3 linked regions of the Coturnix japonica genome follow. The protein of the gene in region 2 interacts with the protein of the main gene of each other region in a biochemical or structural test. Links are inferred from orthologs where the notes say so. Each region holds a gene or a part of one and is shown on either strand. Other genes may lie near its edges.

The links.
Region 1: the proteins of FGFR2 (region 2) and FGF7 form a complex in vitro, tested with the Homo sapiens proteins (3 studies listed by BioGRID). The link is inferred for Coturnix japonica from reciprocal best matches to the Homo sapiens genes FGFR2 and FGF7.
Region 3: the proteins of FGFR2 (region 2) and FGF10 are reported together in a solved structure, tested with the Homo sapiens proteins (3 studies listed by BioGRID and IntAct, with this or other methods). The link is inferred for Coturnix japonica from reciprocal best matches to the Homo sapiens genes FGFR2 and FGF10.

Annotation. Positions count from the first base shown.
Region 1 is NC_029525.1:9,370,348-9,373,030, reverse strand, and holds the end of FGF7 (fibroblast growth factor 7), read right to left. Parts: intron 2,242-2,683; coding exon 2,138-2,241; intron 1,679-2,137; coding exon 1,484-1,678; 3' UTR 531-1,483; downstream 1-530. UniProt on the Homo sapiens protein: Plays an important role in the regulation of embryonic development, cell proliferation and cell differentiation. Required for normal branching morphogenesis. Growth factor active on keratinocytes.
Region 2 is NC_029521.1:27,585,927-27,590,047, forward strand, and holds the start of FGFR2 (fibroblast growth factor receptor 2), read right to left. Parts: upstream 2,888-4,121; 5' UTR 2,776-2,887; intron 1,716-2,775; exon of another isoform or gene 1,623-1,715; intron 1,256-1,622; exon of another isoform or gene 1,068-1,255; intron 1-1,067. UniProt on the Homo sapiens protein: Tyrosine-protein kinase that acts as a cell-surface receptor for fibroblast growth factors and plays an essential role in the regulation of cell proliferation, differentiation, migration and apoptosis, and in the regulation of embryonic development.
Region 3 is NC_029547.1:15,722,752-15,727,193, reverse strand, and holds the start of FGF10 (fibroblast growth factor 10), read left to right. Parts: upstream 1-1,570; 5' UTR 1,571-1,774; exon of another isoform or gene 1,775-1,808; intron 1,809-1,988; exon of another isoform or gene 1,989-2,192; intron 2,193-2,312; 5' UTR 2,313-2,387; intron 2,388-2,515; 5' UTR 2,516-2,742; coding exon 2,743-3,079; intron 3,080-4,442. UniProt on the Homo sapiens protein: Plays an important role in the regulation of embryonic development, cell proliferation and cell differentiation. Required for normal branching morphogenesis. May play a role in wound healing.

The sequences.
Region 1 (2,683 bases), on a different chromosome or scaffold from region 2:
AACAGAATGAAATAACTTTTTGGTCATGTAGGGCTTACTTTTGAACACTTTGATACATAGAAAAATAGTTGTGTCTCTTCTTTATCATGTCACGTGGATCTTGGCTGGTGTTTCAGATTAGTCGTATGGGTTCTTACACTGTTCTCTGAGTCTCGGTTCCACCATCTGAGGATTTATTCTGCAACTTTCTTTTACCTAGTATAACTCGGAGCTGCTATTAAATCAACTTGAGTGTGTGGCAAAGATTTTCTACGTTTTTGCATTGTTTCCTTTGAGATGTCCATTGTGCGATTTGCTGCAGGCTGTCATTTTTGTCTGCCATCCAATGTATGTTGGCAAGAGGGTTGTGTACTAGACTTTGTGTCTGGTCACAGAAAAAAATTCATGCATCTCAGCCAGACCATTTTGTTATTCCTTTAGAATTAAAAGCATATGAAACAGATGCAGCTTAATCAGTTTTTTTTTCTTGATTTTTTCTTTTTTTTCTTTTTTCTTTTATAAATAACATTTAAATAACTTAAAACAATAAGTTCAAATACAACTTAAAATAAAGTTTAATGCTGTAACAACAGAAAAAGCATGTATAAGGTTGGAAGAAAAAAAAAACCAAACAACAAACAACATTATTAAAAGCTGTATGCCCTAGCAGGAATTATACAAAAGATAGGATATGTTACATAAAATACCTTAATATGTCTGAATTTTTTCTTCGTCGTTATATAAATTGTTACTTTGTGAAAAGTGAGATGAAGTATGTTATTTATTCCTATTATTTTACATACACTATTTTGAAACATCTTTTAGAGCAGCATTAAGTATTTGTTTCATTAATAGATAGGAACATTTTTGTAGTAGAGTAAACTTAATTTTTCCAAACTAACTCTTTTATCTGAAATGCAACAATAGACATTTACACGATTATATATTTTTTCTGATCATATAGTTTATGTATAGGTTATCGGTTTCTTGGGGAAGTATTTAAAATACTGCTCAGCCTCCACACTTACTATTGACTTGATAATCTGACAACTCGTTCCAGCAGCCTTAGAGTCTGACATATTTTACACAACATTATCATCTGCTTATTATTATTATAGCAGCCATATTTAAGAAGCAGATTGTTTTCTGTTTTTGTTTTTTTTTGTGTTTTTTTTTTTCTTTTTTCATTTAAATTAAATATTATCAGATAATCAAGTCATGAATTATTCTTCAGGGTAAATTAATTTAAGAAACTACCCAGTTAAAATGACTAAGATAATGATTGTACAACTCTTTAGAATTCTTTACAGCTTTTAGTTAGGAAATCTGGTTTTGCGTATATTTTCAAATCTTTTCCACGTAGTCTCTTAAAAATAAACATAAATGCGCAAGTCCAGCTTGTTCAGTTTCTCAGTAGTATTCCAGCCTCTCTTGATACCTTGTCAAATAATCTTCTTAAAAATAATCTTCCTGCTGGAACTAGTTCTGTACAGATCGTGTATGATTAGGATATTGCCAGAGGAAGAAAGTGGGATGCTCTGTGTTCTTTCTTTGTTTTTTTACCCTTCATTGGAACACCTTTGTGGTTTAATGTAATAAACATCTCTTTTCCTTTGTGTGTCCATTTTGCAGAAGCATATGTATTATAATGGTTTTCTTCAATTAGTTCTATGAAGTTGCAATCCTCATTGCATACTTTCTGTTGAGAATAAATAATTTAGAGTAAAATGAATACAAATGTTTTTAAAAAACAATCAGAGAATACTTAGATGGAGGGAGATGGGAGAAAAAGGTTCATCACAAAAGCTACGTTTTTAATATTATGAATATTAAACAAATTGATATACTAGTGATAAATAATATTATTAACAGTGATAATAAATAAATTACACTTCTGAAACCTGAGTATTGAATACTTCAGCTTTGTATGTTCTAACATCTTGAGTTTTAAAAAAGTGCACAAACTCCAACAACTAAATTTTGAAAGTGTGTATGAAAGTTGTGCACACATGGGATACATTTTAATTTTTTAGGACTTTCTGTCATACAACCTGTTTCACACAAAGTATGACATCTGTTTTTCAGAGAGTTGTGGGGATTGTTAGAGAAGTTAGCAGGGTAGTTGTGTACACAGTTGAGGAGAATTTAGCTTCCATACCTTTCCATAGAGTCTTCCTGACTTGTTCATTGCTAGAAAGTATTCACTTTCCACTCCTTTGATTGCCACTATTCCAACTGCCACTGTTCGGATTTCTAGAATACCTGCAAATGTATACAGGAAAAATTACACCGATGCAAAGTATCTGTTTTCAATTCTACCTTTATGATTTCTTAAACAAATACAATTCTGTGCTTATCGAAAATTCTTATCTGCATTTATTAGAAAAAGTATTTATTTATTCATGTGAAGAAAGGGCTAGATTTTTAAAATCTCTATATGTGATCATCACGGCCACTTACAATCTGTAGGATAAATTTTAAATATCTACTGAAATTGAAATGTTAGAAATTTTTATATTTTCAAAGAATTGATGGATGTTAGGATTTATTGTACTCCGGGTTTCATTTAGAAGAATTACATCCGTAGCCATCAGGGTTCAAGGAATTTGTGTAAAGCCTTTGTTTTGAAGACACGTGTAGCTGTATCACAAATGAACAAGTGTAAACCTTGCAACTTGAAAGTGATAGGAAACAGACCACAGTG
Region 2 (4,121 bases):
TAAGAGGACCCCAACAAGCACCACACCAAGAGCATCCTCACAGAGTGACCCAACAGCTCACCCTGACAACTGCACTGTATTTCCCCCCCCAAAATACAAGGTGGCACACCACTGTCGATGGATAAATCAAGCAAGCTGTTCAAATCAGCCAATAACTCATCTTAGAAGTAATGAGACCCAACTGAAGCTTAGAGAGCACTGATCTTGGGGAAAGAATTGCATAAAACCTCTTTTTTCCCCCCTCCTGCCCCCATCCTTAAATAGAGGGGGAAAAAAAGAAGCCTGAGCTATGGTACCACAGCATGTAGAACTCAGCAAAACGAACACATGTTCTGCCTTTATGGAGCCAACCATTAAGGAATGTATTCAGACTTTTTCAGCCTCTCACTCAGGGCTGGAAACTGAACTCAGCTCCCAGAAATGGGGACAGGTGTGTGTGGGGCATCCTTGGAAGCCCCAGGCTCTGCAGAAGCAGATTTGAGAAGAGATCCAATTGGGTAAAGGGTTCAGACACAGCATTTCAGGTGAACCTCTGCCTCTCTGGGGCAAGCGTTTCCCATCCCAGCTCAATGCTCCGCTGCTCCTTTAGAGACTGAAGCAGAGCACGACACCACAAGCACACAACAGTTCCACCTCCAGCAGAACCAAAGCCAGACCACTTCACAGACACTGGGGAAGAACCCACAGAGCACCTCCCTACAAGAGGGCAATGCAGGTGTGGAGCCCAAGTTCTGTCCCGAGGACGGGTCTCAGCCTCTGACTCACAGCCCCACAGCACAGTTTATCCAGCTGTAAAGCAGGTATAAATCCTAATTAACAGACTGGAGGTAAAGCTAATTTAATTTCCATAAATCATCCCGTAAAGCCTGATTAAAGGCTACGTATATAAATGCAAAGCTTAACCATATTTTTTCGCAAAAAGAAAACATACCAGAATGCTATCATATATCCCAGACTCTTTTCTAAACAGCATTAATCCCACCTACATTTCAGCAGCACAGGATTTCCAGGCTGCATTCAATGCCATTTAGAGCCGTGTGCCCATCCCGAATGGCAGCACTGCTCACCTGGAGGAGGCTGCCAGCTCCTGCACTGAGCATCCAACAGCAGCACGGAGGGACTCTTCCCCTGCAGGGTAACACCAAATTCAAAGCCTGGGCTCAAGAAGGTGCAGCAAAGCGACACTCAGAGCTTTGGGCCCATCCGCAGAACCCAAATCTACAACCACGGTCCAAACGCTGCCCGTTCCCAAACCAAACGGAGTCCAACGAAGACCAAAAGAACCCAAATTCTTTTCATAGTTTGATGGCCACAGTCGCCGGGGAACGGCTCCCTGGAAGGACCTCCTGCGCTGGTTAATTATGTACCTCTATCTCAATGTTTGGAACACAGCCCCAGCATGCTTTTTGGCCTCCACAATTCTGGCTTCCTGACTACAATACCATAATCCCTCCTGGAGTCTCAGACTCAGTGAAAGCCACACGTAGTGTTTATTTTTCCCCTTGAAAGGGAACTCTGTCTCTCCTCTCAGCCTACACTTCGGGGAGGAGTTGTCAGCCCCCAATGATTGATGGCTCTCCTTGCCACTCGCTCATCAAGTCAATTTTCACCTCGTCACATACCTGCCCAAATTTCTGTGCCAAACTGACGAGCATGGGAACGCAGACTGGTTTGGGAGCCCAACCAAATTCCTCCGAGCTCTCCTCCACTTTTGAGCACACTCGCTCGCAAACAAGTAGTTCTTGTTCAGCAGTGGCATTAATTAAATTCAACGCTCAGTGTTCTTTTTAATCTACTCCCATTGTTGTTTATAAGATGTTTATCACTCCCCGGGGACGGTCCAATTTGTACAGCATGTTAACCAAATCAATACGCTGCTCATCGGGCAGCTCTTAGCAGCGCTCTCTATTAAGGCAGGGAATAGCGAAATCTGAACGAAATACGGAGCTTCCCCCAATGCCAGCACCCGGCAGCTTCCCTACAACCATCCGAGCACACCGAGCTCCCCAACGAGCGCATATGGGCTTAAATATTGACACCTATTTATACGGAGATGCAGACATACGTACGCACGCGTCTCCATCCCCGCTCAATCTCCGAGCAAATCTGAGCATCACAGCTATTAAACATTAATTCTGGAGGACTAATGGGAACCGGCTGGCAAGCCTCCGTACTTTCGCATTGTTTGAACTTCTTTCATTCGCTTTCCAGGACTATCCTGTTTTTCTCAAGTCTTTTACCACTAAGAGATGAGGAGGGGGGGGAAGAGAAAAAAAAAGATCTGCATTTTAATTGACATTCCAGAGAGAGAGAGAAGTCCAGAGGCTGTTGATTGCTGTCTATTCAGCCCAAACAGGCTTTTCAGATGAAAATGAGTAAAGGCTAGTGGAAGATTTACAGGGATTTGGTACAAAGGAGACAATGAAGTTTTAAATGTTGATAGCGTTTCACACCGAACGCATAATGGCTCACTGTTTGAACGAGCCGTTTTGCATTTAAACCTATATATCACCGCGGATTTCTTTTTTTACCCGGTGCGGGACGGGGGGCGGTTCCGCTCCGCCGAGCATCGCTCCGTGGGGAGCTCCCGAGGGCTGAGCTGCTCTCAGCCCCGCTGTCACCGTCCCCTAAAGGTTTCGCCGCATCGGACGGGACCGCAGACAGCATCCCGAGCCTCCCCGTCCCGTCGGGAGCGCCGCGAGCCCTCCCCTCCTCGGGTTTGCCCCCACTCCCCCCCAACACCTTTCCCCTCCCTACCCCCGGCCGTGCCATTACCTGAAGCCGGTCGGCTCCGCGGCCGCGCTCACTCGTCGGGCAGCCCCGGCGGGGCGGGCTGGGGGCCCCGCAGGGCAACGCGGCGCATCCCCCGCGGGATGCGGGGCTGGCGGCGGCGGGGCGGCGATGCAGGAGCCCGCCCGGCGTCCCGTCCCCTCGCTGCGCTGCGGCGCTACCGCCTCACTGGGGCGAGCCCGCCGTGCCCGGCGCCAGCAGCCTCCTCCCCCGCGCGGGCATCGCCGCGGGTCCCGCTCCGCTCCATCCAGCCGCCCTCCCCGTGCCGCCGCAGCTTTGTCAGTCCAACAACCCCCCTCTTTTTTCTTTTTTTTTTTTTTTTCCTTCTTTTTCGCCCTCCCTCTCCCTCTCTCTCCCTCTCTCTCTCTCTCTCTCTCCGCACGCTCCTCCGACTCCTTCCTCCCTCCTCCCCTGGTCACTCCCCCAGCTGCAATCCGAGCCGTTTCCTGGACGGCGCTGCTCGGCTCTGCCAATCGCTGCGGCTGCGGTACGGAGCCCCTGCCCCCGCCGCACAGCCCGGCCCGGCCCCGGCTCCGGTCCCGCTGGGGATGCGAGCGTTGCTCTGCCCGGTGGGGAGGGCGAGGCGGCCGCCCCCAGCCCGCACGCAGCCCTGATGGCACCCGCACTCACTCACGGTACCACCTCGGCCACCTGACTGCGGGGGGTTTGTAGGACCAGAGGCTACAGCAGCGCTGCCCCAACCCGAGGCATGGTGACACCCAGCAAACACCACCCGTGTGCACGGCGTGGGGTCAGCTGTGTGTTGGTGATGCAGCAGCGGTGCCCGAAGTGATTTAAAGTGATGCATAATATCGGTATCTAAAATTGAGTATAATTTAATAAAGCTTTTACTTTAGATACCATTAACTAAAAGGTTGCTAGCGCAGTCCGTGCAATGCTTGCTCTGTAGAATCGGCCTGACAACTGAATCAATAAGCGCCGCTCGCCTCCAATTAAATCAGTGCTGATCAATGTAACGTTACTTTATCTGAGCGCAGCTCTGCCGTGCACTGGATCTGTTCTGCACAGTATTGATTGGAGGCTCTCAAGGACTGCGGCGGCACAGCAGTGGCTCTCTGTATTTACACACTTTCAAGCACCAAAAGCTGAAAACAAGTTTTGTGTGCACCGTGTGCCTACCTCCCAAATAGTGCTTTCCCACCGGCAGCAGCAGCAGCGAGGGGCTGCAGGCGAGATTGGAAGCTCAGCTTTACTCTTGTTGTTCCTAAAGCAAGAGGCGTCTCAATGTTCTAATTGAGGAGCTGCAATGTCACAGTCCGGATCCAATTTTCTCAGCTCTGGGCATGTCCACTGCCCTTTGAAAACACCCT
Region 3 (4,442 bases), on a different chromosome or scaffold from region 2:
TTTTCATTAAATGCTACAAAAGAAAAGCCTAAGACAGAATCACTAAAAATTTTCTGACATGCTCTGCACTCAGTGCAAATACGTGCAGAATAAATACTCTAAAGAACCATAAACAACATCATAAAACATATTGATTCTAACATTAAATGGTTTCATTTTTAAGGCTGTTTAAATGTCACCCCCAGAAGCTGAGAACATAAATTTAAGAGCTAACTCTCTCCAGAATAAACACCATAATTGGAGAAAATCATTTCTAATTTCTGTTGTGAAGCTAACAATATATTTAACATCCTAATCTAATGAATCAGTCTAATTTTAGAACTATTTGTTCTTTTCTACATTTTCTGCTCTTTAAATGAAGATTGACTCCAAATGCCACATGTAATTGCATAGGCGGTTTTCCATTGCATCCCACTGATCTGCATTATTAAACTGCCTCTATTTCACAAAAGTTCTGGTCTTACATATCAAGGAACTTGCTGTGTTTCTCTTGCAGCTCACTTCTCCACCGCTCTGTGCCCCTAGTTCCACCTACTTGCATTCCAGAACCATTATTTTACGATACTAAATATTGAACGAACACTCAACGTCTAGCAATGCTTGCCCATATCCTGTCAGACCCCTATCCTGCACTATGGTGTTAAAAGATAGTACATCATATGAAAGATGCCTGTTAATTACTTGGAAGACTGACAGTTTGGTGACGGGATAGAAATATGAATCTGTCATAACATCCAGTTTGTGAAATGACAAATCCATTAGGAGAAACAGAATCAGAGGAGAAAAACAACAACATATGCCTGTCCGGGAAAATAATTGCTTGAAAAATCACTTTAAAATAACCTTGGAAATGGAATATTTGTTTCTTTCTGGCAAAGGAAACTGCTTTAATAATAATATTAAAAAGAGAGAGAAAAACATTCAGACATATTTTATAGGGGAAACCTTTGCCATCCCAATAAAGCCCCTTTTGCTTTGAAGTCATACGCGTGATTCAGTAAATGACTCATGTTAGCAATTAGAAAATGGTCATTTAGGGCCCCGATTTCTTTTGAGACAAGGAGGGTGAGGGTGGGGAAAGAGACAATAAATCTTGAGAGGCTTAAAAGGAAGAGCAGACTAAAGTGTGAACTTTTTATTTCAGCAACGGAAGTGAGAAATCAGTGATTCATTAAAGGAGGGAGAAAGACCTCCATGGAAGCTGGCAAAGAAGGAAAAGGAGCTAATTACGTCTCTTCCCCTTTTTACTCTCTCTGACCAGCATATAATCTGCTCTCTCAGGGTCTGCTAGCAGCATGTACTTCTTCCCAACCTTTCCACCCAACCCCTCCTCCAGTGAGGGGGAGGGGGAGGTCTAGCAGGCAACAAGCTCCAGGTGGCTTTCTCAACTGCTCCGCTGCCAAAAGAATAAAATAAAATCCTTCGCTAGAAAACAAGTTTCTTTTTTTTTTTTTTTTTTTTTTCTTTTTTTTTTTTTTTTTTTTTCCCCCTGACTGTTGCGGGGGGAGCCTCCCTGGAGGGGATTGGTTCAGCCTGCAAGACAAGGAAATTAGTAAGGCATGAGTCTCCAAGCCATGCTGGTGGCCAGCACTCCGAGGAGTGGAGCGCTTTAGCAGCAATTAGCAGCGAGCCGAAGGCGGCGGCGGCTGCTGCCGCTGCAGCCCGGGAGGAAGCGAGGGCAGCTCCTGGGGCTCCCTCCGCAGCAGGCACAGCTCTCTCCAACTGCAAAAGGGTTTCAGATGTCCCACCGCTGCTTGACCTCCTGCAAATAAGGGTTGACCACCAGAGGCACATCCCACCTCTGATTTGTAATCGCTGACATTTAGGCTACAGCTTCCAACCTGTTTACAACCAAAGGGGAGGGAAAGGAAAGGAAAGGAAGGGAAGGGAAGGGAAGAAGGGGTGGGGAGGGAGAGACAAGTTGGGATTTTTTCCCCTCTCTCTCTTTCTCTCTCTGGGTTTTTTTTGTTTTGTTTTGTGGGGTTTTGTTTGTTTGTTTGTTGGGGGTTTTTTTGTTTGTTTGTTTTTGTGGGGGTATTTTTTTTTTAATACTGTTCTGGAGAATTTAAAGCAAAACAAAGAAACTGCCTCCTCTGTGGCTGTCAGTGAGAAAGGACGAGTTGTGCAACTGGTTTGGGATTTGCAAGAGGGCAAGGGGGTGGGGATCAGAAGAAGGTGCAAAGCCACAAAGTGTGAGTGCGAGTGTGTGTGTGTAAAGGGGTGTGTATGAAAAATCCCTTCCAGCACCCCTTTCCGCTGGTTGTTATTTATTATTGTTGTTGTTGTTCATTCTGCTGTCATCTATTTTTCAGACCTTTCTGCATCTAAGATGGTGAAGAAAGGAGTGAGGAAGAGAGCAAAATAACTACTGGGAAGTCTCAAACCAGGTTGGGGAGTGTGTGTGTATGTGGGGCGGGGGGGGTGGAGATGGGGGGGTGGGAGGGGGGGAGGGTGGAGAGGGGAAGAGAAAAAGGAAAGAGGATTAACCACAGCAACCCCCCCAAAACACCAACAGCTCTTTTTTCTGAGGGAGGACTCGAAGGATTAAAAGGCAGCAACTTCTGAGGCGATCTGTCCCCTGAGTTATGGATGTTGGTGCACTTACTTCAGGCCAGATCAGAGCTCAGAGGGATCTAACCAGAAGCAGCAACCACCGGCTCTCCACTTGCCTTTTACCAGGTTTTACCCATCCAGTATGTTTCTTTTGATAAGACATTTTCCAACGCCCAGAGTTTCAGTACAATGTGCAAATGGATACTGACAAATGGTGCCTCAGCCTTTTCCCACCTGCCTTGTTGCTGCTTGCTGCTGCTCTTCTTGGTGTCTTCTGTGCCTGTCACCTGCCATGACCTCGGCCAGGACATGCTGTCCCCGGAGGCCACCAACTCTTCTTCTTCATCATCCTCCTCCTTCCCCTCGTCCTTCTCCTCTCCTTCCAGTGCGGGGAGACACGTGCGGAGCTACAATCACCTCCAAGGAGACGTGCGCAAGAGGAAGCTCTACTCTTACAACAAATACTTTCTCAAGATCGAGAAGAACGGCAAGGTCAGCGGCACCAAGAAGGAGAACTGCCCGTTCAGTAAGTACGGCTCCAACGCCGCGCCTTCACCGCGGCAGCCCCGGCCCGGGAGGGAGCGGGGCAGGGGGCGCCGGGGGCTGTTCGGGGTGGGCTCCTCCGGGAGCTCCCGCAGGCACGGGCGCGAGGAGACCTTCCCGGCCGCGTTTGTTTTGCAAATGGCTTCGCCGAGCACAGTTTGTTTCTCTGCATGGCAGTAGAGCAAATTAGAAAGATTTGTGAGGATGTGGCGCGGAGCGTGTGTTGGGGGGAGCATTGTCTCCCGAATATGAAAATCATTATCCCCCTGTCATTAAACTGCCTTGACGAGAACGCTCTATTAAAACAATGCATCGATTTCCCCCCACGCACGCACTCCTCCCCGCGCCGCACCGGGGCCGTCCGCCCCACTCTCCCCCCGGGGCTCCTCGGGCGGCAGCGCCGGAGCCGGAGCGCTGCATGGCGAGCGGCTGCGGCGGGACCGCGCGGACCTCACACGCATCTCATTGTCAGTCTCTGCTCGGAGAGAAACGGTTTCAAAGTAAAAGTCGTACGGCTGTTCCCATGGCTGTGCTTTCGAGATTTTCTGCAGGACTAATTAGGCTTCTAGTAATAGCGTGCTTCTGGTAATGTATTTCTGGCTGTCAGTGTTGGAAATGTAACTTTACTCGGTTTTCTTGCCTGTGCAGTCTCAAACTGAAGCAACTGTAGTAAATCACAGTATATTGCATTGTAACTCTTTCAGTGACTGCATCCCGCTACAGGAGCGTGCTGAAGAAGTCAGATCTGTTAAGCAAGAGTTGGGCTCCAGTGCTGGAGCACCACTCCTTGGTTCTGGGGTTATTCTTCATAAATCCAGAGAAACCTGGGGATAAAGCTTCTGTTAAACAACTTGAGGTGGCTGGCTAGCTAATGTGTCAAGTACAGAGTACTTCAGCAGGCTGCCCTTCTGTATGACAGACATCACGGTTAATTCAGCTGTATTTCTTCTAAATACCCGTAATGTAGTCTTAGAAGGAAGGAGGAGAAGGCTGATGTATCATATGTCACTGCTTCATTTGCTCCACCTTGCAACTTTGTACTTTATCATGTGCTTAATGTTTGTAAAGGGTTTAGTTGTCAACACAGCTGTCTTACCACCTCCCTTCAGTATTTCATAGAAAGCTGAGTTCTTGGAAAACAGAACAGCTCCAAACACTTTGACAAGTTTGTTTAGAACAAGGTCCTAGCACTGTATTTCTTAGATCACTGTTTTTTTGTTGAGGACAGCATGATTCCCTGAATTTGGGATTCTGAGATCTTTGTGTGCATCTCTGCAAACATAAAGCCATGCTGCACAGAACACCTCTGCAGTACAGTTGGTGAGTAACCCAACCTGAAAACAGTG